Linked DNA regions of Mus musculus: all the other regions are reported to be linked to region 1. Evidence: microRNA targets listed by miRTarBase, many of them from high-throughput screens and not tested one by one. Region 1 holds a microRNA gene; each other region holds the end of a gene's coding sequence. Distances are between the middles of the regions.

Region 1 (5,076 bases):
ATGTGCATGTGTGTATATGAATATACATACACATACACACACACATACACACACATGCAACACACACATATGAATGACACTCACTGATCACTTTTAATGATATGTGACTTATAGTTTTAGAGATTATACAGTACTGGGCCAGTGAATGGTCTCACTCAGAAGGTGAAAATGCTTGCCAGAATCAGGAGAATCAGGAATTCAAATTCATGCTCAACTTCCTGAGAATTTAGAGATTAGTCTGTGATTCATGTGATGCCCCCCATGTATGTGCCTGTGTGTATAGTTGTGTGTGCATGTGCATGTGTGTATATGAATATACATATACATACACACACACGTATAAACGCAAGCACAAACACACACAGAGGAATGGCACTCGTTGATCCATTTGAATGATATGTGACTTAGAGCTTTAGAGATTATGTAGTATTGGGCCACTGAAACTTTTCATTCACCAGGGAAGGCTTGCCAGAGCATCAGTATCCAGAGTTCAAAATCATGCTTAACTTCATAATGAGTTAAAGATCAGCCTGGGATTCATGGGCTGTACCCTATATATGGGCAGGTGTGTGTCTTGTGTGTGCATGTTCATTTGTGTATATGAATATGAATATACACACACTTACACACTCATGCACACACACACACATCCATTTGAATGATATGTGTCTTAGAGCTTGAGAGTTTAGGCAGGACAGTGCCAGGGAGAGATCTCACTCACCAGGTAACAATGTTTGCCATACTCAGGAGGATTAGGAGATGAAATTCATGCTTAATTTCATGATGAGTTAGACATCAGCCTAGAATTCATGGGATGTCCCCCATGAATGTATGTGCATGTGTATATAGTTTTGTGTGCATGTGCATGTGTGTCTATTAATGTACATATACATACACACAAACATATACACGCATGCGCAGATACAGACACAGAAATGGCTTTCATCGATCCATTTGTATAATATGTAAATTTACTGGGCCAGTGAGACATCTCACTCACCAGGCAAAAACATTTCTCACAGTCAGGAGAATCAGGAGTTCAAATTCATAATAACTTCATGATGAGTTAGAGATCAGCCTTGTGTTAATGTGATGACCCCTATGTATGTGCATGTGTGTATATTTATGTGTGCATGAAAATGTATGTATATATGAATATACATATACATACATACCCACACAAACATGCACACACACACAAACACACCCACAATTGCCACTTACCAATCCATGTGAATGATATGCAACCTAGAGGTTAGAGATTGAGTATTCCTTTGCCCAAAAGAGCTCTCTCTCTCTCACCAGGTGAAAATGCTTGCAGAGTAAGGAAGAACAGCAGTAAAAATTTATGCTTAATTTCATGATGAGTTAGAGATCAGCCCGGGATTTGTGTGTTGCTTGCTCTATATGTGTGTATACTTGTGTGTGCATGTATATGTGTGTATATGAATATACATATACATACACACCCATATACACACGCATGCATGCACACACACAAATACATATACACAGGAATGGCACTCATCGATCCATTTGAATGATATGTGACTTAGAGTCTTATAGATTATGCAGTAGTGTGTCAATGAACGGTCTCACTCACCAGGTGAAAATGGTTGACAGAGTCAGGAGGATCAGGAGTTCAAATTCATGATTAACTTCAGTTAGAGATCATCCTGGCATTCATGTGATGCCACCCATGTATGTGAATGTGTGTTTACGTGTGTGTGCATGTGCATGTGTGTATATGAATATATGTATACATACACACACACATACACACTCATGTAACACACACACACACACACACACGAATGGCACTCATTTATCCATTTGAATGATATGTGACGTAGAACTATAGAGATTATGTAGTACTGGGCCAGTGAGTGCTCTCACTTTCTAGTTGAAAATGCTTGCCAGAATCAGGAGAATCAGGAGTTCAAATTCATGCTTACATTCATGAGGATTTAGAGATCAAACTGTGAATCATGTTTTGCCCCCCATGTTTGTGCATGTGCGTATAGTTGTGTGTGCATGTATATGTGTGTATATGAATATACATATACATACACACCCATATATACACGCATTCATATGAACACATCAACACACACGCAGGAATGGTATTCATCGATTTATTTTATTGATATGTGATTTAGAGCTTTAGAAATTATGTAGTACTGGGCCAATGAAACTTTTTACTCACCAGATATAAACGATTGGTATAGTCAGAAAGATCTGGAGTTCAAATTCATGCTTAACTTCATAATGAGTTAGAGATCAGCCTGGTATTCCTGGGATGTACCCCGTGTATGTGCATGGGTGTATAGTTTTGTGTGCATTTGCCTGTTTGTATATGAATATACATATCCATACATACAATCATATACAGGCACACAAAGACACACAGACATGAATGGCACTCAGTGATTCATTTGAATGATATGTCACCTCAAGTTTTGGAGGTTATGCAGTACTTGGCCTGAGAGGGGTCTCAGTCAGCAGGTGATAATGTTTACCAGAGTCAGTAGGCCCAGGGCCTGGCAAACGCAGAAGTGGATGCTCACAGTCAGCTATTGGATGGATCACAGAGCCCACATTGGAGGAGCTAGAGAAAGTACCCAAGGAGCTGAGGGGATCTGCAACCCTATAGGTGGAACAACAATATGAACTAACCAGTACGCCCCGGAGCTTGTATCTCTAGCTGCATATGTATCAGAAGATGGCCTAGTCGGCCATCAGTGGAAAGAGAGGCCCATTGGTCGTGCAAACTTTATATGCCTCAGTACAGGGGAACGCCAGGTCCAAGAAGTGGGAGTGGGTGGGTAGGGGAGTTGGGGGGGGAAGGGTATGGGGGACTTTTGGGATAACACTGGAAATGTAAATGAAGAAAATACCTAATAATAAAAGAGTTCAATTTTATCCTTAACTTCACGATGAGTTAGAGAGGAGCCTGAGATTTTTGTGATGATCCCGTGATGTATGTGTGTATATTAATATACATATACATAAACTCATACATACACATACATGTGACACCCACATATGAATGGCACTCATCGATCCATTGGAATTATTTGTGACTTAGAGCTTTAGAGATTATGTAGTACTTGGCCACTGAAAGTTTTGATTCACCAGGTAAAAACCCTTGCCAGAGTCATCAGTATCTGGAGTTCAAATTCATGTTTAACTTCATGAAGAATTTGGGATCAGCCTGGATTCATGTGATGTCTCCCCTTGAATGTGCATATGTGTATACATAAGTGTGTTCATGTGTATATGTGTATATGAATATACATATACATACACACAAACATACATGCATGCATGGACACACACACACATGAATGGCACTCATTGATCCATTTGTATGATATATAATTTAGAGCTTTAAATATTATGTAGTACTGGGTCAGTAATAGTCTCACTCATAAGGTAAAAACACTTGCCAGAGTCAGGTGAAGAGAGAGTTCAAATACAAAATTTACTTCATGAAGAGATAGAAATCAGACTGGGATGTTTCTTATGTATGTGCATGTGTGCATATATGTATGTGTGCATGTTAATATATGCATATAAATATACACATATAAACTAACCAACACAACATGCACACACACAGAGACACACACAAATACACACACACACACACAAACTCAAAATTGATACTCATCTATCCATTTGAATGATATGTAACTTAATGTTTTAGAGCTATGTATAAATGGGTCAAGGAGAAGTCTCACTCACTAGGTGAAACACTTGCCAGAGTCAGGAGGATCAGGAGTTCAAATTCATGCTTAATTTCACAACGATTTAGAGATCAGTATGCAATTGATGTGATGCACACCAAGAATGTGCATGTGTTAGAGTTGTGTGCATATTCACTTCTCTATATGAATATGCATATACACACATGCACACACAGTAATGCCACTCATATATCCTTTGAAATGATATGTGCCATAGAGCTTTAGCGCTTATGCGGTAGTGATCCAGAGCTATGTCTCAGTTAGGAGGTGAAACGCTTGCCAGAGTCTGGAGGATCTGGAGTTCAAATTCATGTTTAACTTCATGATGAGTTAGAGTTCATCATGCGATTCATGTGATGCCCAACAAGAATGTGCATGTGTGTATAGCTGTGTGCATATTCACTTCTCTATATGAATATGCACATACACGCAAGCACACACAGGAATGGCACTCATATATCCTTTTGAATGGTATGTGACTTAGAACTTTAGAGCTTATGCAGTACTGATCAAGAGCTATGTCTCAGTTAGGAGGTTAAGTACTCTTGCCAGAGTCAGGAGGATGAGGAGTTCAAATTCATATTAAATTCATGATGAGGTAGCAATCAGTCTGGGATTCATGTGATGTCCCCCGTTTATGTGCATGTGTGCAGAAGTGTATGCATGTACATGTGTTTATGTGAATATACATATACATACACACATATACACACACATGCAAACATACATGTAGGAATGGTACTCATCGATGCATTTTAATGATATGTGACTTAGACCTTTGGAGATTATGTATGACAGGGCCAGTGTCAATTCTCACACACCTGGTGAAAACCCTTGTTAGAGTCAGGAGGTATAGGAGTTGAAAATCATGCTTAACTTCATGAGGAGTAAGAGATCATCCTGGATTCATGTGATGCCCCCTATATATGTGCATGTGTGTATACTTGTGTGTGCATGTATATGTGTCTATATGAATATACATATACATACACACCCATATACACACGCATGCACGGAAACACAAAAACATAAACATAAACACAGGAATGGCACTCATTGATCCATTTGAATGATATGTGACTTAGAGTCTTATAGATTATGCAGTAGTGTGTCAATGAACGGTCTCACTCACCAGGTGAAAGTTGTTGACAGAGTCAGGAGGATCAGGAGTTCATATTCATGCTCAATTTCAGTTAGTGATCATCCAGACATTCATGTTATGCCCCTCATGTATGTGCATGTGTGTTTACGTGTGTGTGCATGTGCATGTGTGTATATGAATATATGTATACATACACACACACATACACACGCACGCAACACACAC
Region 2 (5,076 bases), not on the chromosome of region 1:
TGGCATCGACTTACCTCTCCTGGACCCTGCTAGTACCATCACCACTGTCACCGGACCAAGTGCTTTCAGCATTCCTCTCCCTATCCGGCAGAAGCTATGCAGCAGCCTGGATGCCCCTCAAACAAGAGGCCATGACTGGAGGATGCTGGCCCATAAACTCAACCTGGACAGGTGAGTGTGTCCAGGCTTCTAGACCTACTGTTTTCATTTAGCAGAGATTCCAGGACTGAAAGGAATGATATAGAAAGTGGCACTTTTCTCTTCCCACTACACATCTGTTTATATTTTCATTCTGACTGTGAGCTTCCAAACAATTCCAAGAGAATTCCTGGGATATATGACATTTATCAGTGTCAAGATTTGTGATAGACTTTACCTAGCTCATGTGCTAAGAGCTCCTAAATATGATGTCTATTCACTAAAGTAATTATTGTTCATCCATCGCCAGTTGAACAAGACGTAATGCATGATGAATAATTTACATGCTCACACAAGCACTTGTATTAAGTTATAAAGAGACCCTGAGAGCCTCTGCTTCGTAGAAAATATCTGTCACCTCCAAGGAAGAGATGTGGTATGACCTGTCAAAGATCATCAGAGTCCAGACTGGACAGAAAACATAAGCCTCTTGATTTCCTGTTTAGGACAAAACCCACAGACACGTTGTCTCTTAAATTATCCTATTCAGAGTTGAGGTTAACAAAGTTAAACAGCACATGTCCTGTCTGGAGCTGATCTAATTAGGAACCGAGCAATCATTAAGTGGAGTTCACTAGGATCCACGGTAGGACTGAAATGCTTCAAGACAGACAGGTTTAGTGCCAACGCAGAGAAGATAATACTGTAAATAGACCTGTAAATCACACCTCTAAGCATATTTTCCCATTCTTGATTGCAGGTACTTGAATTACTTTGCCACCAAATCGAGCCCAACTGGCGTAATCCTGGATCTTTGGGAAGCACAGAACTTCCCAGATGGAAACCTGAGCATGCTGGCAGCCGTCCTGGAAGAAATGGGAAGACATGAGACAGTGGTGTCCTTGGCAGCAGAAGGACAGTATTGACCACACTGGAACTAAAGCTGAAGGACACAATTACACAGGGAGTCTGTGTTCAGGGGAACCACATCTGAGGAGGAAATCCAGATAGGACCAAGGCGCTCTACAGGCAAGATGGCAACAGGAAACTTGGGGGACAGATATAACCACCAAGGTACACGCCCACTTCATTCGGACAGCACCACCGCGGGAGTTAAGAAAAATTGTGTAAATTTGTACCTTGAATTTAAGAATCAATCTAATTTTCTCTTCGTTGGGCTGTATGCTGTATGGTACAGGATCTTACAGTTTCCTAGGAAACGCTTTTTATTGCTATCCAGATGTATGGATAAACTTTCTTAACAAACCCAGTTTCTACAAATGTTGTTTACATCAAATTGGACAGGGATGCAGACACTGTCCATGGCTCGTTCTATTTTTGTTCAGATCATTTGAAGTTGAAGCTGTGGACAGTTTATTGTGTCTATTTCAGATTAGTAATTTACAGAGAAATCACAGACTTTTGCTAAAAATCATGTACATCAAGTGTCTCAGATAATCTTCCCATCAGTGTTCTGTTTCTGAAACTTGTTGGACCAGTATTGGCATTGGTATCAGGGAAGTGGAGAATCTAAATGTAAAGGAGAAATTGAGAAAATTCCTTATATCCTGGGGTAACCCCGTTGGTATCCTTTGGGAACAGAGCTCTAGCATTACAGGGGAGGTAGCTATTCATGTTCCTCCACACAAACATTTCTGTACCACATGTGTGTTTGTAATAAGCAATTTCAAGTGTTTTTTAAAAAATATTATCATTATTATTGATGATTATTACAAATATTCTAGTAAAAAGAATTTCCTTTTGTTTTAGTTAGCAATACTGTTAGTGTTTGGTGTTGACTAGACCTGCCTCCCTTTCTTGCCTAAAGAGGTGGGCATGGTCACCAGTTTAGTTCAATAGCTTTTGCTTCCTTGACCTTTGGTCTACCATTCTGTGGTGGAAAAGACAGAAATGCTCAATGGCTATGTCTGCTCTTTCAGCTTGCTCGGTCAGAGTCTTTCTGTTCTTGCTCTTATCATGAGGAGAGTTCTCTATGTAAAGTTCATTTACTCTTGTGGCTATCTGGGAGGCAGTATGGTTGTGGGAACAGTGTCTGAACTAGGAATCAGGAAACCAGTTATCCTTGTGGAGTTGGTCCCTGTATGGCTGTGTGACTTTGGGGAAAACATTGAAACTCACTGGCGCTCATTGCCCTTCTTTGTAAACTTTGTGGTGAGACCAGATCATCTCAAGGTTCCAGAATGCTGATCTCCCATTCAAATGTCATCATCCTTTTCTATCTTGCAGGCAGGATTGATTTGAACAGGGATTACTTCAACACACATTTGTTTGTCTTTATCTTTGTGTCATTATTGCATGATGTTGTTCGCTTAGAGATGGCATCCTTTTCTTACCATTGTCTTGACCTCTGCTGGGGCCCTAATGTCCAGCCTTCCAACTAACTGTAAATTCTACTTTACTCATTTATTGATCTCCAGATCTCAAGACCATTTCTACAAAAAGCCCATGCAGCTGAATGAATTGGTAACATTTTTCTTTCTTTATTACTCTTTGCTTTAGTAATATTCAGTTGTATTTATGTAGATTAGTGCTATAGGACCATCCTATAAAACGTTAGTTGTGCATACTCCTTGGGACCATCCTGGGTTTTGTTTGTTTGTTAGTTTGTTTTTATTTTTTGATATAGGAACTCCATTCAGCAGATAGTGAATGAAAACTTAGCAGCCCCACTGACATAGTTAAATAGAAAGCACCTATGCCCTTAAGTCAGAAACTTCAAAATATGGCTGTGGTGTACTTTGGGGCTAGAAGTATTCAGGTTGCTGAATGGATTCCATTGGGAATCATTTTGCCTAATACCCTCTGATTCTGTTACTTCCTGATACACGCTAACTCTTCTATCCTAGTCATTAAAGAACTGTGGGTACAGTTGTGGAGCCTCTTCCTTCATGCTGTTTGTCTTCTCTTTCAGAGATGTATTCTACAGTCTCTTTCTCTAACCATATTCATATATAAAAATCCTGGTCCCACTGACTGTGGAAGGGAAATTCTATACTCCTAACGAAGTTTGTTGGCTGATATCTGTAAGCATGAGTTTGTTCGAACTTTTAAGAGTTTGATTGATGTTCTTAAAAAGTAAGAGGAAGAAAGACTTTGCTGCCTCTTGAAACAAGTGTGAAGGTTCCTCTACACTTCTTGGATTTTGGAACCATCAAAGAAATCCAAACTGAGAGGTCTGGACTGGATGTTCTGTGTAACTTCAATGCTTTGTGCTAAGTCAAGAGGAACAAATATGTTGCTATTCTGGTTAATTTATCCTAAAAACTGTTAAGTCACCAACACAGAAATACTGAATATAACCAAAGCAACATTATTGAATATTTTGAGAGTCCTCGTGTTCAAGCATCTAGAGATACTTGCTTTTGTATTCAGACTCTCACAACAGGAAAAGGAAAAATGACTGATCTCTTATGAAGGAATCATATGTCATAAAACCACTTTCTATCATGTGAATGACAGTTTCCAAACTAGAACATACCATACATCAAATAATTTTCACTAAGCAGTCTGCTCTTTCTCCTTGGGAAGAAAATGATAGTTGTTAGATTGCTGCTTTCCAACACACACGTTTCACCTGCCACAGTTCATCTTAGAGGGAGCTTCATCATCACCCCTGTGGCATGTCTGACTTCTACAGAGCTTCTCAGGAATGCCTTGCTTGCTGTGGGTGGGTAGAAAAACAAATTATTTGTGCCTGGTGCCATCTAGTGGCCTGCCACATAGTTACTCAATGTCATATACAGCTTACAAAAAATTAACAAAGAGAGTTAAGTACCTGTGGAGTTCGACATTTGTGACAAATAGACATGGTGAAATTTACCTACATGTGTAATTCTCTTATTCTCGTATTCTTCAGTTAAATTATCCATTTTACAACTTTCTGGGTATAGCACGTCATCAACTTACTCATACACATCTTAAGTTACTTTCTTGTGATAGACATGTATGGAATCTGTATTTTTAAAAGTCTCTGAAAATTGTCATTGGGCTTTGCATATTTGAAATCTTTTAACTCCCAAACACTGACTTTTAGAAATATAAACTGTATTCACAAAGAAGAAAGATTCCCTGCCCAACAGCTCCACACACATGGCATCACCTTGGGCATATATATTCTTGCTAGGTATCCCAGAACATCATCAAATCCATGACCCTATTTCCACAGCCTCTCAAGTGGTGAGAGTTTAACTATGTACCACTATACCTGTTCAAACCTGCTCTACATTTGTAAATGAGAATCCTGTCTCTATGGACATGGAAGTTGTGGCTGTTAATCAAGACGAATGATCTTCAGATGAAGTAGACCTGAGATTAGGAATCTAAAACTTCATGTTCTCTTCTTATTGACATTAATTCAAATTGGCTTGAGTCTAAGCATGTGTCAAGAAAGTCACAGCCAAACATTTTCAAAGCAGACACATTGTCTCTGCTACACAAAGAATTCCATCCTGACCTGAGCAAATTAATCTCTTCTGGGAAAGGATAATTTGGGGAATAAGAGGTCCAAGATCAAAGTATATCATTAGCTATTTTCATATATTCTATGATTCTAAAGATTTTAATTATTCCACTATCAAAGAGTAGAGACATCCTTTAGGGGAAAGTTGCAATGACTATATTTAGGATCCTCTAGGAAATAGGTATTAAAACTAGGTTTTAAGGACATTTCTCCTAAAAATGATTGAAAGGGAAACACTCAGAGGGTAGGATTTAGACAGTTCACATCTGGAAGAGAGTAGATGGTTGCCTACATCTCTGTGTGTCTCTGATGAGGACCTGGCACCTATGATCCTGGGTCATTCACACACACCTACATAGCCATAGGACAAAGAGAGCTTATAGGGAGAATGTTCTATCCCACAATCCATACACATCCCTACAGTCTGCGCTCTGGAGCTAATCAATGTAGAAGGATGT
Region 3 (5,076 bases), not on the chromosome of region 1:
CCCCAGGGCCCCACACTGCACTGCAATAGCTGCCTTGCCTGCCTGGCCTCCCTAATGCCTGCCAACAGCCCTCCACTTCCCCTACCCCAAGCAGCTGGCTGGGCTCCAGGGACTGGAGGTCCAGCTCCTTTGGGGCTGGAAACGGTTCTGTACGGCATATACTCTCCTCTTCCTGCCTACAAGCTGGGATGTCTGATGGCCTTCCTCCAGCACTGCCCACTACCACCACAGCAAATCCCCTTTGGGATCACTGACCATAGTCAGCTAGGGAAAGGAAAAGTAATATTGACAATGGTTGCCCTGTTCCTTAGGGGCAGGAGGAAGGGCCTTCAGAATCAGGTAAGGGGCTAGTGGAGTACCAAGGGGACTATATGGATGTCAAGCTTTGAGTACTGCCATTCTCCTCCCCGTGGGCTCCTTCAGAGATAGGATTCTCTCCTCAGGGCTAGTATGTCCCTTCTTTTCTCTTCTCATACCCTTAAGAGTTTGGGTGAGTCCCCAGTGAGTGAGCCTCTTTCTCCCTTTGATCCTCCTGGCATCAACAGAATTCCTCACACTGCTCTCTTGGAAACCCTAGTATAGCTTAGGGTTCAGACCTCTGCCACAGGAGGGACAGACAGGTCCCAACACTGCTTAAGGCTCTGCCTATATTGCGGCTCTTTCTCCCATTCCCAGCTGCAGCCAAACCAGCAGTACGTGGTCAGGGCTGGTGCCAGATACAAGCTGAATACCCATGCCCTGCAGTCAAGTATCTCAAAGCTACATGTCCCCCTCCCCCTCCGCCAGCCCTGCAGCTGGCACCAACCAGGCCAGTGGCTGGACACAGAGCTGTTTATTACCTAAGGGTGACAAATGCAGGCTTGTGACACAATAACCCCTGGAACACAGGGATGAATGTTGAGGCTATTAGAAAGGTGTGGCTCCTCTTGGTTGGTTTCTGCAGACCTAGTCTTAGATTTTGGGGTCACATGGTATAGAGATCACCAAACAACCACTACCCCTCTTCAAGCATTAAAAGGGGCTCTGCAGCCTGTCCCTGGGGAGTGCTTTTCCATGCCTATGGGAGACTAGGACCACGGGTCCTACAGGCATGCTCTGCTTCACAACTAAAAGCAACACAGCTCCAGCCCAACATGACAGCTGGAGTTAGGTCCAAAAGATGGTCGAGGTGAGGGCAAGGGGCCTTTTCGCCTAGATCATCTGTGTCCCTAGGGCCCACAGCCAGATTCTACTGCCTTCCCCATGGGTAAGGCTCAATGGTAGGCATACGGTTACTAGGCCTTCCCAGAATTCCTCATTGTTGACCAGGCAGGTATAGCTCAGAGATCAGTTGCACCCTGTAGCCCCCAACATGATCTGAGTATGAACTCAACTCCAGTAGACTACGACCACCTTAGCCAGTGGGGCCTGATTTCTTCATCTCCACAGCCAGTCTGTAACTTGGTTTCAGCGTATAGGACCCTATAACTCTCTCCTACAGGGAACATAGAGGGCACCATTCACCAGCCTCTTTGTACAGCTGGAGAAACCAAAGCAGTAGGCAGGGAGGCATCTGCACCCTGACAATAAAAATGGCCTTGGTACACTGAAAGGCACGTCTATCTTCTGGGAGAGGAAGTGGGCTCCTCGATGAAGCATTAGGTGGCAAGCAGCGCCCTCAGGCAGCTCCCCTGGCTTAGTCTGGGGGGCCAAGGGATGAGGGTCTACATTTCCCTTCCACGTGTACTCAAGTAGCGCCTGAAGTGAGAATTTCCCGGTAACTCCACAGAGCCAGGAAAGAAAAGGCTCCAATGGAAGAGCTAGGATTTCACCGCAAAGGATATACAAGGGCAGTAAGCTGCATTGGACCTCCCATCACAGCCAGCTCCCCACACTTGCACTCATGTCACCCAGGCCCCAAGGCACTCGACACACTGGACTGACTTTGTGGGAACCCTGTGAACTCCAGGGATGGGCTCTCATGGTGCCCTGGCAAGGCTGACTTTTCTCCTGGTATTTTCTACTTTGCAGTCTTCCCCGACAGTATTCTCAAACTGGGTTAACACTGCTCCAGTCCACACCAGCATCACAGGCTTCCTCCCCAGGGCGGTTGGAGGAAGCTCTCTGGGCACAGCCAGGCAGCTCTCCTTCCCTCCCGTTGCCTTTGTCCTGGGCCTGGGCAGACAGGCTGAGGAGGAGCAGAGGGTCCTGGGACCCTCCCACCCCACCTCTCCTGGTACTAACAGAAGTCTGTGTAGGCTCGGCTCCCTCCCCTCCTCCACATTCTCCTTCCTGACTACTGGAGGGCAACAGGTCCCCTAGGCGGGTCCTGGATCTCCTTCCTCTGTCACCAAGAGGAGGCAGATTCAGAGGAGGAAGAGAACAGCAGGCCACGTGGCTTGGTCTCTTGGACAAGCTCAGGGAGGACACAGAAAGTGAAGTGAAGGTAGAGAGATGGAACCCTGTTGGGCACAGATCATGCCATCTGGGGCTGGTCCTGGGGCTGGCTGGGCCTTGTCCTCCACCTGCTCAAATGTGCTTCCACCAACCAGAAGAACCCCATTTACTAGTTTTTCTAATAAATCAATAATACTCTGTGTTTGTCTCTGTTTATTTGACCAGCCTCTTGTTCCTTTGAACTGGACATCAGAGGGAAGATACCATGGAAACAGAGAGACAGCTAGGGTTTTACTTTGTTCCTCAGAGTATTATGGGATGACTGCTGGTATCCAGGCACTAGATCCCATCTGGGACCCTGAGGAAGCTTGTTCGTTTCATGAGTTCAATCAACTCGAGGCCAAAGTTGTCTCTAAGCAATCTACTGTTCAGGCTGTTAACTACCAGGAGCAGGGACCTGATCTCCTATCTGTCCTGGGATCCATTTTCAGAGGGGCAGTTTTATTTGGCCTGGGTGAGACATGGGACTGCCAGGTTTCAGAGGGTCTTCAGGTAATTCTAATAGGAGCCTGTGAATGCAACTGTCCCTGTCCAAGGTTCCTAGACACACCTACACTTGGACTGTAAGGATCACCCAAAAGACATTAGCCACAACTGCCCAGGCTCCACCCCTGGATGCTGTCATTGAGTTTGAGAAACAGTGATTCATCCAGCCTTCAATCTGTAGATGAGGAAAGTACATAGTTGGGTGACCCAGCTGGTAGCAAGGCTGGGACAAGACTTAGAGTCACCCATCCAATGCTTTTATGGCCGTTATCAGGTGTCATATCCTGGGACTGGCCTGCTCAAAAACAGTAGCTGTCTTCTCAGTGACTGACAGTGGTTGCAGAGGACCGAGAGGGCATGGGCTACTGCAGGCCTGCTCTGTTCCTGCCCAGGAGACCACCACTCACCCGATATCAGGGTGGGGTGGGGGTTGATGGTCATCCTATGTTCAGATCCAATCCAATCCATCCTCTTAGATTGAAAGATGCCCAGGTTTTACTCCCTGCAGACTTGCAGGTACACTAGAAGGACTGGTCTGTCACCAAGGCCCTCTTTTCTGACCCTAGACAGAAACCAAAGTAAAGCTGGTCTTCTGTGCAGAAAAAAAGCCCATTTAGAAATGGGGCATTCCTGGCCTTTTGCAACCAGACACTTCTGTGGGTGCTGTTGAGAACAGGAACCATTCCAATAAAATACACTTACACTCCACAACGCTGCAGACCACTTTAGGACATTGCTAAGCCTCAACCTTAGGACCCTCACCCACTCCTGGGGACCTGAGAGGGAGAGATGAGTAAAAGTCACTGGACCCTAGAAAACCCCGTTTATCTGAAGGGTTCTGCTCGCCCTGTCGGTTCCAGCTTTTCCCAACTTTGTCTTTGGGAAAAGAGCTCAAGGCTCCCATGTGGGAATCTCACCCGAGACAGAACATGACGCTTTGGGTGGACAAAGCAATGCACAGAGGCAAACATGGGAGGAATCAAGATCCCACCTCACACTCTGTACCCCACCTGACCCGTGAGCACCCTTGTTATCTTGTCTGCTGTGCCCGGACATTTGAGTGAGCATCCATGTCCCCAGGAAGGAGGCCACACACAGGTTGGTTGGTCAGCAGTGGTTATTATACCATAGGTAAAGAATGAAATGTGTGTCCATTGGCAACCACCACAGGGCCAGCAAGACAACCTTCGAGAGTACCTGAACTAAGTCCATTACATTCTTTACAAGACACACACACACACACACACACACACACACACACACACACACACACCCACACACACACCACAGGATATAAAGCAATAAATTATTGGCCTCATTCCTGCCTGGGTCCTATGACAAGGCAGTTAAAGGGCAAAGCCTGCCCGGGCTGCTTCCTAGGTCTCTCCCTTGGGTTCTCAGCCAGGCAGTGGCCAGCCAGTAAGGAAAGCCAGGGCAGTGCTCGCCCTCCCTGGGCAGGATAAAACAGTTGGCTTCTTATCAGAGAAGTATTTACAGAGAAGGTAAGTAGCTCATCTGGACCTAAGGAAAGTCAGTCATCCTGGGACCTCCCAGGGGAGGGGAGGGGAGGGGCCAGCACAGGTAACAGGTGAGTTCACACTCCACTCCAAACCACTCTTCCAGAAGAGTGGAGGATCAGCCTTAATGAGCCAGGCCTAGGGGGGTGTGGGTGTGGGGGGAGCATGCCAGGTCCTTCCAACCTCCACGTGGCTGTTCTCTCCTTTAGGAGTCAATCAACCCACAGAGTTCAAGGCCTGGAACTTCTCCCTCAGGTTTCTCACTCTACCCTGTTTGTTTGTGTCTGCTGAGTCCCTGGGACCGTGTTCTTTGGGCTGGTACTCTGCAGACGCCTGGAAACCTTGGCCCTGTCCCTTCAAAGCCACTGGGGAACTTGATTCCTTCCCACTGTCTTCCTCCAGCCCCACGGTGGAGCTAGGATGGGGCCCCTTCTCCATAATGATCACTCGCTGGTTGTTCTCCAGGGTAAGGTCTGCGGTGACATACAGGGCGTCGCCTCCATTCAGCTGGCTTTGGGGAGGAGACTCAGGAAGTGGAGGCTGGGAGGCTTCCCCATCTCCCAGGCGCCTGTGGGTGTTCAGGCCACAGCAGCGGTCCGCCTTGCCAGACATGGGAGGTTCTACGATGTTCTCGGGC
Region 4 (5,076 bases), not on the chromosome of region 1:
TTGATAATTATTTATGTGTTTATAGACAGAATCTTGGTAGCTCAGATGCCCTTCTCCTAACACCTCACCAGCATAGGATTAGAGGCATACCCAGCAAACCTAGTTTACGTGGCTCTGGGAATCAAAGCCAGGACTTTATGCATGATGGCCATGCAACTGGCTACATCCTCAACCCCCTGGACATCTTCATGTTCATGTTATATGGTTCAACCTACACAGTTGGTCCAGTCATTAGACTTTGTAGCAGAGGGGATAAAAAACCAGGCTGCTTCTCCTGTTTAGGTGCCACAGTGCATCTGACTAAAAGGTGACTCTGTCTTCCCTCCCAGGTCTGCCACGTGAATCTGGAGGGTCAGCCATTCTACTCTAAGAAAGACAAACCACTGTGCAAGAAGCACGCACATGCCATCAACGTGTAGGAGCCCAGAGTGGCTGGTGTGCCAAGCCCAGGCTGCTCCTGCTACTGATGACGAAGGAGTCAAAGAAGCTGATGTTGTTTCTTCTGGGAGGGAAGGGGAACGAGAGAAAATGGTTGAGCCCTTTTGAAGTCTAACTTTAGTCTTTTCTTGTATACACAGATTGTGTATTATTGTAGTTCAGACTAGAAGCCAAAAGAAGATTCTAAACCCAGCTAGTAATTAATCCACGGCTGGAATTGGACTTCAGGTTTTGGGGAAATGACTCCAAGAAATCAACAGTGAAAAACAAACAAAAAAACAATGTTAAAAAATCAAAGACTCCCTAGCCATGTCTGTTGCCAGTGTGGGGACAGAGCCCTGGGCAGTTATGGAGGATCTAAAGTGTGCAGCGGAGCTCTGGAGCGATCCTTGGCAAGCACAACGATGTGCCAAGCAGTGTTTGCTGTGCGGATATTTTTAGAGCCGGCACTGAGAGCTCCTTAGCTAAGACCCATTGGGCTTTCCTCACCAAAAAAGGAAGAGTTGTTCCATTAGCATCACAGAGTTACCTCTGCACATCAGACTTCAGATGTTGAACAAACTTGAAACATATAAGGGGAGCCCAGGCGTCTGAGGCAATGGCGGGCCACCACTGGGCAAGTGAAAAGGCTCCGGGGAGGTCTTTCGCTCACGCCACGGACAGGGGAGAAAAGATGAGCTTTCTCTGCATCTCCCCCTCTTTCCCTCTGAAATATCTAAAGTCCCTGGAAGGCTTTGCTCCTTTATGAATTGTTAAGGGAAAGTGAAATTGGGTTTCTCCAGTTTTGCTTTACAATGTATGAGAAGAGGTTTGAAAAGGACTCTGGGTGGGGTTTTAGCCTTTGTTTTGCTTTAAGAGGGTTCTGAGAGGGAGTGTTCTGTGCACGTATTTCACCCCCTACCCGCAACAGCTCACGAACATCTTCCTCAGCCCCACCCTCAAATAGGCTCAGTGGGAAAAAGAGAGACAGCATCAAACAGGATGCTAGAACGGGCTCCCGGGAGCACCTGCGCACATGCTCATGGAGAGAGGATGCTCTGCTAACCTCAGGAAGAATGCATGGGCTGCAGGACCTCCCATCTCCAGAGCTGCACCATCCCCTTAACCTGTTCCTTTAAGTGCAGCACAGGAAGTATATACTCATGCTGACTGCTGCAAGGAGGAAAAGCTGCATTTGCCATTTGGGCCAATATTTGAAAATAGTTGACTGGCTTTAGAATATTTATTGAAATAGACCTGGCCTTCAGACTCTATAACAATACAGGTGACTCTTTTACATATACATGGAATTAGGTGAGCTTGGTAAAGCTATTTAGAAGTAAAGAAAGTGGCTTCCCTTTTGGGTTTCGAGATGGTGCAATCACCTTCCTTTCTAGGAAGTGCTGTTAGGAAGGATGTTCATTGAAAATGGTATTGAAGCAGGTTGTGTGTATGTGTGTGTGTGTATGTGTGTGTTTCTCACTGGAGCACAGTATGTAGGCACTGTACCAACCACTGCCCTTCTCTCCTCCAACCTGTTTTGGATTTTCCACTTTGCACGGTTGAAATGTTTTATAGGTATGCATTCACACTTTTCTTCTTTTGAGAACTAAGACTTCCAAGAGAGCATCCTCCTACTTACCGGTCTCTCCTCCCTGGAAGACTCTGAATTAGTTAGACATTGTGTAGTAGGAAGTCCATAGTTAGTTTGGAATCACCAATTCCGCCCAGGCAGCACCAGGGAAGGTCAGAACTATGCTCCTCCAAACAGCTCTTCTTTACTTTTTATGCAAAGCTCCTGGCTGAGTGCATTCTGCTGGGACAGCTCAGAGGTTTGTCCAGACATGCAGAACAGTACCTTGTGTAGTCTGTTATTTTTGGAAATTTCAGATATTCAGGGACAAGGAGCTTGCTGACTAAACAGAAGGCTTCTAAGCAGTTGATTTTTTTTTTAATCTATTAAATGATTGGGAACTGATCTTGAGGAAGGGAAATAAAAACCCCTGCCATTACATTTCCAAAATGTCTTTTTAAAGGTTTTATACATGATCCCAGACACTGCTCCTGTGTAATCATTATCCTTTGTTGTAGGATCCTTAAGAAGATAATCAAAATATCCTAAAGGAAAGCATCACCATTCTCCTATGTTAAGTAATTTAAAACAAATATTTAATAGCTTACATGTATTTTTAAGTGACTCTTATTTTTTAAATACAAAACAACATTTAGAGGCTGGGTGTAATTCAGTGGTACAGAATTGTCCTAGAATTTAGGATTCTCTAGCTTTGGTCCCCAGCACTGCCAAAAACCAATATAAAGGTAGCAGAGAAGAAGCCAGTTTCAAGAATGGTCCACAGGGTGAGCATGCATAGTGTTAAGATTAAGGCTGAATGTCGATAGGTTACCATCACATCTTTACTAGTGCATAGGAGGAATACAGTGTGTCTTGTTTTCTTATTCTTGGCATTAATCTAATATACTGATAAACACTCACCTTCTGAGTAGAATGGCTTGTATTGGCAGTGTTTGTGTTAGCAATCTAGCCTTTGTAATGTGAACTTTCAACCCTAGCATTCTTGCTTTGGGGTCTTCTTCCTTTCTTTTTGGTAAGTTTTCTGAAGTTGGAATATAGTGTGTTAGAGGTGTGTGTAAAACTATTTTGCATGGTTTTCTTTTCCTTTATTTTCCTTTTCTTTCTTTTTGGTCCGTGTGGATTCTTTTTAGCAAAATAAAATTCAGAAAAAAAAAAGATATACAAATGGCGATGTTTATTCTGTGTAAAGTTCTTTCATGTGTCATTAAAAAATAGTTGACATCTAGAGGCCCATAAATAAAAGTATGAGACAAATTGTCCTGTGAATAAGGGACACTGCTCACTCAGTCTGTGGCACATCAGCAACTTAATTGTTTTATGTAAACAAAGTTGTATGAATAACACATGTTTTATATGCAAAAATAATTAATAAGCTGAAGAATAGGCTTTGCCTTGTAGATTTGGAAAGGTGCTTTTAGTTAGGTGGTTCAATATTTAATATTTAGTCTCACGATACAACCTCTGCCTCTTCAGTTCTGGTATACAGCAGATCATGGACTACAGACCCAGCACATGATCAGATTCTTTTTTAATTGTTATTTCACTTTATAACTTGTAGTGTGTGTGTGTGTGTGTGGGGGGTGTAAGACCACATGTGCCATGGTGTGTGTGTAGTGTCAGAGGACAAGTTTCAGGAGTCTCTTTCCACCATGTGGGTTCCGAGTACAGATTCAGGTCATCGTGTTTAGAAGCAAGTGTCACTACCCACTGAGCCATCTTGATAGCCTAGATTTATTTGTTTATTTATAAATTTATCTATTTAAAATTTTTCTATTTATTTTTATTTTATGTGCCTGAGCACTTTGCTTGCATGTGTGTATGTCCATCATTTGCCTGCCTGGTACCTTTGCAGGTCAAAAGAGAATGTACGACCCTGGACCTGGAGTTACTGATGTGGTTATAAGCCGCCATTTGGGTGCTGGAAATTGAACCACCCTGTCCTCTTCAAGAGCAATACATGGACTTCACCACTGAGCCATCTCTCCAGCCCCAACTTTAAGATTTATCTTTTATTACTTTTTATCTATGAACATATGCATGTGTCTGGGTATGGATGGGCGTGTGAGCATGGGTTCCAGTAGAGTCTAGAAGAAGGATTGGATTTCTCTGGAGCTGGAGGTATAACGGGTCATGAACCACCTGACTTGGGTGCTGGGAACAAACTCGGGTCCCCTATAACAGCAGTACCTGCTCTTAGCCACCAAGCCATCTCTCCAACCCCACAGATTAATTTTTATTTTGTTCAGCTTCAAATATAGAAAAGTTGCTATATTCCTTTCATTTATTTTTCCCTTTTTTTTTTTCAAATAAGTTCAGAGGAAAATCTCCTAGTGGCATTAAGAAAAAAATAATACCTCGCATGGACAAAGCACTAGGTTCCATTCCTAGCACTGCATAAACCAGCCCAGGACTCAGGAGGCAGGAGTTCAAGGTCATCCAGGACTCACATAGTGAGACCTTGTCCCAAAACAAACACAAACAAACAATATCATTAGTGGTGATATAAATTTGAAGTGATGCAATTCTTTAAATTGACAATGAAAAAAAATCCCATAAAATCATAGAATCTAAATTTGGAGGTATCTAAGAGATCTTCTAGGGACCCTCTAAGTGTGAGGCTAAAGGTCTGGAGAGGGAAGGGGCCAGTTATGAAGTTAGCCAGACGCCATGGAATAAATACTAACTTTGGCATTGATGAAACCTGGGTCTCGATCAAGGCTATTTTATACACTTTGAGTGGTGTTAGAAAAAAAAAAAACTCTTTTCAACAGTTTATCTATTTGAAAAAAGGCAATAACACTTGCACCAAAGATATTTTGGAAACAAACTGTAGAACTTCTAGAAGAAATTACAATTCAAATTATCACCAAAATGCAGCGACTGTCATTATTACCAGTAGCAAAGCCATCCACTCTGATCTATGGCTTCACTCCTCTTATTTTCCATGTGCCCTCCCCCAAAAATCTTCTGGAAGAACTAGCAGTGAAAACAAACGACATAACAATTAAAAATATCAACCACATAAGACAGATTTTTGGTATCACGAACCTGAGCCAAAATTCTAT
Region 5 (5,076 bases), 160 Mb from region 1:
CTGGTACACTGCTTACTTTTGTTGTATTGAGACAGGATGTCTGTACGTGAAGCTTCTCCTGAGAGGCCAGGACACCTCCCCAAGGTTAGCCTGTGTCTCAGGCCAGGGCAGTGACGTCACTGGGCGTGCTTGGTTCAGGCACAGGGTGGGTCAGAGACGCCAAGTAACAGAATGGGATGGGTCTCTGTCGGCCACCTTCTCCGCAAGGAGGAAACCTGCCTGAGAGAAAAGCTAAGTGGGTACAAAGGAGGAAGCAGGGAGGGGCCCTGCCTAGGTTGTCGTCAACAGTCACTAATGATTGTGTGCCTGTCTGTGGCATCCATGTTTGTGTGCGACAGCGTGCATGTACATAATGCAAACTTATATGTAGAGGTTTGAGGTTAACATTGAATATCTTCTCCATTGCTCCGCACCTTATTTATTGTTAGGAATTCATGCTGGGTGTGGTGGTGCACACCTTTCGTTCCAGCACAGAACAAGTTCCAGGTTAGCCAAGGTGCCACAGGAAAACCCTGTCTTGAAAAACCAAAACCAACCAACCAAGAAAAGCACTTGTGTTTGTGGTTAGAGGACAACTCGGAAGGAGTTGGTTCTCTCCATTATGTGGGTTCTGGGGACTGAATCCATATTGTTAAGAATTGGCAGCAAGCCCCTCTACTCACCAAACCATCTTGCTGGCCCTCCATCTTATTTTTCTGAGACAAGGTCCCCTACTGAATCAGGAACTGATCCCATTAAAGTTACGGGTCAGCCAGTCCCAGCCAGGGCTGTACAGCACCTGGCTCTAACTCAAGTCCTCCTGCTTGTGTGACAAGCTCCTTACTGAATGAGCCCTCAGGGCCCTCTTTACGTTTTGGTTCTGAGGGCCAAACCTATAAGCTCATGCATATTAGGCTAGCTTCCCACCACTGACACCCCAGCTCTGTGTACTTCCGTCATGGAACAGAAGTTGTCTAGACTGACCTTGACTCCTCCTGCCTCAGACTCCCCAGTAGCTGTGCTACCCGGTCGTCTGGCAACCATTATTGTTTTAAATCAGTAACATGGTGGCGGAAGTCCTCTCTTGGGTGAACTGTCTACATTTTTTTTCCCTTTTTTTGAGACAGGGTCTCTCTGCCCGTTTCTCAGCAAGACTCAGTTATTCAGTTCCACAGGCCAGGAAATCTTACTGGTCCAATCCACCGAGAGCCTCCTGGTGCAGGCCTGTGACCATCACTGTGCTCACACAGGGTCTGATTCAGTTCCGGGCCAGGGGAAATAATCACCAAGGGTAGAAAGGTATCCACGGAAGCTGGCATCTTCATACCAGCCTCTAGCAAGATGGCGTGGTGCTAAAAGCGCCTGCTGTTTAGACTGGATTCCCAGAACCCTGGTGGATGGAGGAAACTTAATTCTTGAGAGCTGTCCTTTGACCTCTAGGCACTTGCTGCGGCCCGCCCACCTGGACCCACAAAATAAAGGATACATACACCCAGGACCTGACCCCAAATCAGAACAATGCCAAGTTCGAGGTTAACCTGAGCTACATAGTGAGCTCTCAAAAAAAAAAAAAAACCACCCAAGAGTCGGTGTGTGGTGGCACGTGACTTTAATCCCAGCACTCAGGAAGCAGAGGCAGGTGAGTTCAAGGCCAGCCTGGTCACCTATCAAGTTTCAAAACCAGAACACAAACATGAGGCAAGGCTGTTGGCACGTGCCTGTACTGCCAATACCCGGGAGGGGAGGCAGGAAAAGCTGGCTTCATGAGTTCAAGGTTAGCCTGAGGCTACAGATGACTTTTTAAAATAACTGCCCTCAGATAAAAAACAAAACAAAACAAAAACAAACACCCCCCCACCCCCACACACACACAAACTGAAGTCAAATAACAAAAATCCCAAAGAGAAAAGCAATCACTCTTTGACATCTGGGCACAGGCCTGGGAAAAACCAGTACACTGCAGGCAGGGGCAGAGTCTCAGGCTAACCTAGGCTACATGAGGAGACCCTCCCTGACCCAGTGGGAGAACCAGGTTCTACAAGTTGTCCCAACACCTACATGTACACAAATATACTTCTGTGTGCACACACAAAATACCTTATCTTAACATATGTTCTCAGTGTGTAGCCTAGGCTGGCCTGGGACTCACAGAGATCTGACTGCCTCTGCCTCTCAAGTTCTGGACATCAAAGGCATGCCACTGCACCTGACCTAAAACTAAAAACCAAAACAAAACAACTAGGGAATGGCCACATGGCCTGCGTCTGTCATTCCAGCTCCGAGAGACCGAGTGCCCCGAGCTGGGGTTCAGCCTGGACAGGTGGGGGATGTGGGGACCGAGGCCTGGGGCTCAGCATAGCCCTGGAAAAGGGTCAAGGAATCAGTGGTGACTCAGTTTCACTCCCTATGCAGTAACTAAGGATGCTTGGCAAACATCCTTACATCCTCTCTTCATGTAATTTCAAACAAGAAAGTAGCCTTTATACAAGTCCGTTTTTATTTGTAAAAAATAATATGTAACTAAAGCTAACTTGATTCTTAAAATCAAAGTTCATTTAGTGATAATGTACATTTTATAATAAAATTGTAGTAAAATACTGACATTTAATAGTTTAAACAAAGTATCATTCATGTAAAAATCATGTTATAGCATGTATGTTATAGCATGTAAAATTTAATTAGAAAATTCATGGTTCACAACAGCACAGCATCTGGTTGACATGGCGGACTTAGGACAGAACAGAATTCACAGTGAGGCTCGACGTTCGGGACAACAGAACTGCACGCTAAGCTGCCGACGCTTACGCTCCTGTTCCGAGGTGTCTCAAGAACTGAGCCGACGGGACGGGACGGGACGGGACGGGACCTCCACAGCCAAGACTCACTGGCCTCACAGAAGGTCTACTGACATTGACTTCATTGGTACGACCTCATCACTAACAAACACTATTGTCCTTGAAATTAAAATCAGCGTCAGCAGCTCTGATCTCCGTTTTCAGACAGAAGAGAAATCTGTTTTTCAGTTAAAATTTGTACAAAAGTCAAGCCCTGAAGTATTTCTTCCCCCAAGAGAAAGGTTCTATGTTAAAACTCTGTTAAAAAAAGAGAGAGAAAGAGAGAAGAGAGAGGTAGTATGTGAAATATCTTTACTTACAATGCTGAGCCCATGCACCCCTAAGTTACATATGCAACTGAGCCTTCTGTGCCTATGGCTGCCTTCCACTGCAGGGAGCGCAGTGTCAGAGGGGGAGCGAGGGGGAGCACTGCTAGCAAGCGGTGGGTGCCGTGTGAGAGGAGAAACTCAGTGAATTCAACAGTCACAGGCTCACTGCACCCAGCCTCCGCCAGGCGCCTGCAGATAACTCGCTCAGTCAGTGCCCTTCATTGGATCAAGACTTCATTTCTGCCGGCTCTTACTACGAGGAAAAAGTCCTTCAACTCGGAGTCAGTACACACCTATGAGGCACCCACACTCGGCCACCACAAGGTTAAGAAATAAATAACTGTCCCCCTCAGAGCCTTGGGCCTCAGGGAAGTCTGAGCCACACACGTGGGTCTCGCTGACTGTGCATGCAACAGGAGGGAGCCAGGTAAGGGAAGACAACTGCGGTCCCCTCATCCCAAATGGACGCACAGAAGAGAATAAATAGACTCAAATAATCACCAGCCCTGCGAGTGGTGTACTTGACACGGGTTTCCCCAAATGTGGGCAGCACCCTAGAATCCCCAGGAAGAAAACTCCGTCTTTTGAATAAAAAGTGCACATCTATATCGTGTGTAAGTCTCTTAACCTGGGGGCATTTTTATCCCATGATCCACACTGTCTGGTACACTGAAGAGTGTGGGAGTCAACTAACTATGCTATCACCTACCCACAAACACACACACACACACACACATACACCACACATACACACACACACACACACATGCGCACACGTGCACAGCACACACTGAAATAATCTCCACTGGACTGGAATGAAGGACTATGGCACCCCGAAACTGTAAAGTTCCAGGGTGACGACAACAGGTGTCGCTCCAGGGCCAGGGGAAAGGCCCCTAGACATGGCCAGCTAAAGTTTTAGAAAATGGGAAGACAGAACAAAAACTGCACATGAAAAAATAATTTGTCACAGTTAACAGAGGAACACTTTAAAAGTCAGAAAACAGGGTCTGGGAATCGAAGAACCGAGGTCCCCAGTGGCTAGCAGATGATCAGACTTCACAGAGGGCAAGGAGCGGGCTCTGCAGGCAGGTGGACACCGGCCACCGCAGCTCGGCTCAGGCAGGTCTCAGTTTCAGAGCAGCAGCACCTGCTCCGTGTCACGGCAGCCTGCCTCGGCAGACTCCCAGCCCAGCCCGGCCACACTTGTTGTGGAACATCAGGGCCTGCAGGTCCACAGTGTCAGTCATGTGTGCACACCAACATTGTTCCTTACACCCTCAAACAGAAAACAACCTGGTGGTTCACAATGTTATGATTGTCCCATCTTCCTCTAAGAGTTTCTGGTCCGGAGCCCGGCTTTCCAGCTCTGTGTCCAGGCTGCCGGGCACAGGCACCAGGCTCGTGTCCTGAGGAGGGGAGAACCCGTTCTGTCCGGACTCAAAGCTGAGCTCGATCTGCGTCAGGGACTCCAGGCTCTGGGCGGGGGTGGCCTTCGGGATCTGCTGCGGCTCGCCACTGTCTTCAATGATGATGTCGTCCTCGTCGCTGTCCTGGTCCTCGGGCTCGAAGCTGGCCTCCACCTGCTGTGGGAAGCCCAGGAGGCTGTTGTCAGTGGACTGGCTGGAGCTGCCAGAAGTCCGACTGTTGCGCACCACGTTGTTCCTCTGGTTGGCCGGGCGCACGGTGATGATGAGGTTGCGGCTGTTGGCTATCATCATGTCAGTCACCTGGTCCAGGCTCTTCCCGGACACTTCTATACCGTTGACTTCTAACACCTCATCGTTGACAGCTAGCAGGCCCGTGCTCTGGGCCAGACCCCCAGGGACGAGCCGAGATATGAAGATGCCGGGGACTTTCTCCAAGCCGTGCGGTGTCACTCGGACGCTGGAGCCATCCCGGATGTAGAAGCCCAGCGGCTTCTCTGTGCCGTA
Region 6 (5,076 bases), not on the chromosome of region 1:
GCCCGCGCGCCTGAGCCCGGCGGCTGGCTACTGGGTGATGGGGCTGTGGAACCGCTGCGAGTACTTCGTGCTGGACCCGCATCGCGTGGCACTGGCGCTACGCGTGCCTCCCCGGAGGATAGGCGTCCTGTTGGACTACGAGGCCGGGAAGCTGTCTTTCTTCAACGTGTCTGATGGCTCGCACATCTTCAGCTTCACCGACACTTTCTCAGGGGCGCTCCGCGCCTACTTAAGGCCCCGAGCTCACGACGGCAGTGAACATCCGGATCCTATGACCATCTGCTCTTTGCCGGTTAGAGGGCCACAGGTCCTCGAAGAGAACGACAACGACAACTGGCTACAGCCCTATGAGCCTCTGGACCCCGCCTGGGCTGTTAATGAGGCAGTGTCCTGACCTCAAGGCCAGGTCCAAGCACTGTCCTGAACTCCTGGACAGCGCTTTGCTCTCCTGCAGCCAAAGCAGAGTCAGCAGAAAGAGGACAGAGAGAGAGGGCCTATACAGATGAATGTATATAATTATCTTTAAACAGACAAATGAAAGATTGTTTGTGTATATAGCAGGATTCTGGAGTGTGCAGTGTAGAAGATGGGAAAGAATCATAATTATCCGCTAATGTGTGTATAGTTCTGTATAGTGTATATGTGTGTGTGTGTGTGTGTGTGTGTGTGTGTGTAATTTTGTGGATCCTGCAAAAGTCTAGAAGTAATGTCATTTCATAAGCAATGAGTTCACCTTTGGCTCAGAATACAGTTTATAGCGACTTCCTTGATCATGTATGTGGCAATTCGAACATGAAATTCAATAATGGCAGTGATGTGGCTGGCTGGGGGTAAGCAGTGGTAGAGTGCTTGCCTAGCCCGAGGGATAGCACACATCTTCAACTTCACTGCCGATTTCCCCAGAAAAGTGCATTGGATCCCCCGCTCAGGTGGAGCAGGATAAGGATGGCAGGAATGCAGCGATACTCCTAAAACATAAACATACATATAAGTAACATTTACAAACAGAAAAGGCTATATTTAGCAAAATATAAGTATATACATATACTCATCTAATATCATTAATTTTAAAAGCCATGATTTTGAAAGAGAGCTAGAAGTGAGGCATAGGAGAATTTGAGGGAAGGAAAAGGAAAGGAGAAATTATGGAATTTTGTTACAATCTCTTAAAATTAAAAATTAAGATAATGTAGTATTAGGCAATAACTAAAACCCAAATGTATAAGCCCATGCTAACACTTTATTTTTCCTCTGTTTGCAAAGGAAGTCTTAGAAATAATTAAGTGAAACCTTTCTAAAAGAGAATGGGGAGGGTGGAATGGAAAAGCTATTAGCTTTGCATCAAGGAAATAATCAGTATAGACCAAAAAACAAAAAACAAGCAAGCAAACAAAAAACTGATGGCTGATAAGCCCACCAGGCAGTCTATTGAAAAGCAAGATGGCACCAATCTTATGTAGCAATCTTACATATTTCTTAAAATAGTGGAAATATAAACACAACTGAGAAAAAAGTGTATGAAATGATTCCTAATGATACCTGTAGACTGGAGCCTAGCATCATCATTATCAGAGAGGCTTCATCCAGCAATTGATAGGAGCAGACACAGAGACCCACAGCTAAACTTTAGGAGAAGCACAGTAAATCTCCTGAAAGGGAGGAGGAAGGTTTATAGAAGCCAGAAGGGTCAAGGACAAGGACACTGTATGAACAAAGCCCACAGAATCAAATAAGCTGGGCTCATAGGGGTTCACAGAGACTGAAGGGAGGATCAGGAAGACTACATGGATCTGACCGAGGTCCTCTGCCTATATTTTACAGTTGAGTAGCTTGGTGTTCTTGTGATGCTCCTAACAATAGGTGCAGTGGCTGCTGCTGGTTCTTTTTCCTGCTTTTGGGGCCCTTTTCCTCCTACTGGGTTGCCTTGCCCAGCCTTGATATGAAGAGATGTGCCTAGTCTCACGGCATCTTATTTTGCCATGTTTGGTTGATATCCTTGGGAGGTCTGCTCTTTTCTGAAATAAAAGAGGAGTGGATCTGGAGGAGAGGGGAGATAAGTGGGGGCTGGGAGAAGAGGAGAGAAGGAATCACAGTCAGGATGTTATATATGAGAGAAGAATAAACAACAAAAACAAATACAATTGTTTTAAGTAGGGGAAAGGACTTCAGACTCTTTCCTCAGCTTACTAGCATCCTCACATTCTTGGGAGAGCTTTTTCCTTTCTTAAAAGGCGCTCTCTCTCTCTCTCTCTCTCTCTCTCTCTCTCTCTCTCTCTCTCTCTCTCTCTCTCTCCTTTGAGACAAGGTTTCTATGTGTAGCCCTGGCTGTCCTGGAACTCACTCTGTAGACCAGGATGACCTTGAACTCAGAAATCCTCCTGCCTCTGCCTCCAAAGTGCTGTGATTAAAGGTGTGCGCCACCTATTTCTACTCCATATCTAATGTAAAAGTCATGGTGTTTTCTTCATCTTTTCCTTTTGCATGCCAGAGTTTTCATCTCCTTTGTACCAGTTTGCTGTAAACTCTGATAAAATTGTCCTTGAGCTTCCTTTAGAAAAATAAAGGAAAAGGGAAATGGGGATAGTACTATTGCAATGATAATTTGCAGGATGAGCCATGTAATGACATTTACATTTTCAAGGATGAGATAAGACATTAGGTCAAAGAAAAATGAATGGGAGCCCCCAAATATGAAAATACTTATGTGAGTGTTGATTTTTAGTTAGTGCCATAGTGATGCAGGGAAATATTGTTCTTCAAAAATAAGTGTTGAGAGCTTTAGAGATGCTTGAGGTAAACACAATGACTATTTTACTCTCAGGTGCTCCCCCAAACCCCAGAAAGCAAAGGTGGTGATTGATAGCGTCTCTGGTTAACTCATCTGCAGGGACTTGACATACCTTGAGGTAGGCTTCAAGTGTGTCAGATTCAAAGAGCTGAAGTGGAAATGTCTGGTTTCTTCGGAGACTCAGTTGTGTCATGTAATGCTTTTCTGGAAACTGTCTTATCAGAGGATGTTTTTGCTGAAGCAGACACGTAGAAGATGTTTTGCTGAGAACAGATATGTGATGATTTTCTGGAAGCTGCCTGGAAAGGGGTATATGATGTTTTGCTAGAGCAGATGCTTGAGAGAACATGTGATGTTTGGAGAAGGTATAAATACATCCCAACAGTGAACAACACTGTGTGGTATTGGTTCGCCTTGCTACTCCTTGCTGGTCTTTGTCATGACTTCACAGAGAGAAACACACCAAAGAACTTCTGGTGGTGTTCTTGCAGCTTCTTGGCACTTCTGCAGACTCCAGCAGATTGACAGAGCCTTGAGGTTTCTCCTGGATCAACCTGCCACTGCTGATTCGTGAATGGTGTTTGCAAGTGGATCGAGATACTGCTGCTGATTTGTGTGAACTGAACTGCTGTTATTCTGACAACACAGATCGGATTCCCTCCAAAGAACAATTTCTAAACAGGTCCACACCCTCCTTTGCCCTATTAACCTTCTTTCCCACTACCTCTGGTGGGTGGTAGGCTAGAAGGGAGGTTAAAGCATTTAAGTACACTTATTAAAGTAGGTTTTGAAAAATATAAGCATACAAAGAGTGTGTTGGGAAAAAAAACCTAACAAACCAAAAGAGAACAGACCCAAAAGTTCAATGCTAGTCTCTGGAGGGGAAATGTTTGGTGACTGTTAATATTCTAAGTGCCTCTTTGTAGTATTAAATGGTCAGAGGTATGATTAGATTCGTTCTGTAGGGAGGGGAAAGGTGCCTTGTTGGTGTTAGTGAGCCAGGCTCTTACTATGCAGCCTAGAGGTTAGAAGCCACCTGTTTGTTACTATACAAAATAAACGTATTCATACTATCCAATGTTATGATGCCATAAATTTTTATGGTGCGACTGTTTTGGAGGCCCATGTGTGTGTGTGTGTGTGTGCGTGCACGTGCGCATGTACATGTGAAGGCTTTGGGTACCTCCCTCTATCATTCTCTTACCTTTATGTTTTGAGACAGGGTCTCTCAAGGAGCCTAGAGTTTTTAAAATTAAATATAAAATAGGCTGGTTTCCCTTAACAGACCTCAGCAAAGCCCTACTACCTCCTCTTGCCTCTCTCTCCCATGGGGATTTCAAATGAAGACTAGCAACTGTCATACATCTCCCTTCCTTGAAATTAGTGTTACCACAGACACACTTGGGAGGTGGAGTCCCAAGCTGATCATGAGAGAGACTCTGCCTCCTCTTCAGGCTCCTTAATTTCTAACAAGATGCTAGCATTAGGATCAAAATCTGGAAAGATGATGATTGGCACAATCTTGAGAATGTGTTTACAGGTTTATATTTATAGTTGTAAACCACAATGAGGGGGTTACAAATTACTTATTAATTGGGACTTAGGATTGTGTGGCATCAGCTGTTTTGTAAGAAGGGGCCAGGTGCCTTCTCAGTCTCTGGGTGAGTTAGAGGAAGGAATCAATGTACTGCTGAAGTTGGCTGTATTCCATAGGTTTACTCACCTTGGTGTCGAGATGTCTACAGCTTACTGTGTAGGTTCGGCTGTGTGAGTAATTACCGTCCAATTAACAAAGGCTTTTCCCCCTTGGTTGGAAGTGTAGCTCAGTGACAGAACACTTGTTCAGCATGTAGGAGGCTCTGGGTTTGATGTTTAGCATCACATTAAGAAACAAACAAATAAAACACATAGCCCTTCATTCCATCATAAACCTAAGCTAATGGCACTCTATCCTGACTCTCTCCTCTAACAATAAGGTAGAAAATTCTTATTATTTAAACTTCAAAATGTATGCAGAACCTGTTCACTGCTGGTCATGTTCCTTTCTACCAACATCCGAATTCCATAACCTCCCATTCAATCAGTGCACGAACTAAATGGACCTATTAAAACAGATCAGCTGGGTATGCTGGTACGTGTTGAGGTTGGTCTTGTGTGCTATGTATTCAGGTGCTGAGATCAGGTTGTAATCTAGAGATGGGCATTGTATTGACTAATGTGCAGTAAAGAATGCTTCCCCAATAATCTCTTATGATTCTTTTATAAGGCTAAATAAAGCCTGTGACTGG

What was found. The annotated mature microRNA mmu-miR-466f-3p reads CAUACACACACACAUACACAC and lies in region 1 at 1,763-1,783, shown strand. An mRNA with a match to its seed (bases 2 to 7 or 8) in the 3' UTR can be bound and repressed. Matches are read on the target gene's strand: a 7mer-m8 pairs with bases 2 to 8, a 7mer-A1 pairs with bases 2 to 7 and ends in A, and an 8mer does both.
Region 2: the mRNA of Unc5c is a reported target of mmu-miR-466f-3p. The part of its 3' UTR that is shown has no 7-base or 8-base seed match.
Region 3: the mRNA of Plekhg3 is a reported target of mmu-miR-466f-3p. The part of its 3' UTR that is shown has no 7-base or 8-base seed match.
Region 4: miRTarBase lists Ldb3 as a target of mmu-miR-466f-3p. Seed matches in the 3' UTR shown: 7mer-m8 at 581-587, 7mer-m8 at 1,865-1,871 and 7mer-m8 at 1,879-1,885.
Region 5: miRTarBase lists Pard6b as a target of mmu-miR-466f-3p. Seed matches in the 3' UTR shown: 7mer-m8 at 3,889-3,895.
Region 6: the mRNA of Btnl9 is a reported target of mmu-miR-466f-3p. Seed matches in the 3' UTR shown: 8mer at 548-555, 8mer at 617-624 and 7mer-A1 at 635-641.

What each region holds. Positions count from the first base shown.
Region 1 is chr2:10,466,967-10,472,042 of GRCm38, forward strand. It overlaps Mir466f-2 (microRNA 466f-2), which reads left to right and starts at 1,709; the gene lies at 1,709-1,802. The region is part of intron 10 of Sfmbt2 (Scm-like with four mbt domains 2); the gene reads left to right. Mir466f-1 (microRNA 466f-1) reads left to right here; the gene lies at 1-71. Mir669f (microRNA 669f) reads left to right here and starts at 263; the gene lies at 263-383. It also overlaps Mir669e, Mir669b, Mir669d, Mir669l, Mir669d-2 and Mir466f-3.
Region 2 is chr3:141,827,509-141,832,584 of GRCm38, forward strand. Unc5c (unc-5 netrin receptor C) reads left to right here. Exons shown (of 16, transcript NM_009472.4): 15 at 1-171; 16 at 899-5,076. The coding sequence ends at 1,064. Among named protein-coding and RNA genes, the nearest start is that of Gm15689, 150 kb to the left of the region's middle.
Region 3 is chr12:76,577,988-76,583,063 of GRCm38, reverse strand. It overlaps Plekhg3 (pleckstrin homology domain containing, family G (with RhoGef domain) member 3), which reads right to left. Exons shown (of 19, transcript NM_153804.4): 19 at 4,025-5,076. The coding sequence ends at 4,656. It overlaps Sptb (spectrin beta, erythrocytic), which reads left to right. Exons shown (of 36, transcript NM_013675.3): 36 at 1-2,576. Among named protein-coding and RNA genes, the nearest start is that of AI463170, 33 kb to the right of the region's middle.
Region 4 is chr14:34,524,803-34,529,878 of GRCm38, reverse strand. It overlaps Ldb3 (LIM domain binding 3), which reads left to right. Exons shown (of 15, transcript NM_001039074.2): 15 at 330-3,180. The coding sequence ends at 419. Among named protein-coding and RNA genes, the nearest start is that of 9230112D13Rik, 4.5 kb to the right of the region's middle.
Region 5 is chr2:168,098,581-168,103,656 of GRCm38, reverse strand. Pard6b (par-6 family cell polarity regulator beta) reads right to left here. Exons shown (of 3, transcript NM_021409.2): 3 at 2,454-5,076. The coding sequence ends at 4,447. Among named protein-coding and RNA genes, the nearest start is that of Pard6b, 20 kb to the right of the region's middle.
Region 6 is chr11:49,164,372-49,169,447 of GRCm38, reverse strand. It overlaps Btnl9 (butyrophilin-like 9), which reads left to right. Exons shown (of 10, transcript NM_172793.2): 10 at 1-1,123. The coding sequence ends at 394. Among named protein-coding and RNA genes, the nearest start is that of Olfr1394, 6.9 kb to the right of the region's middle.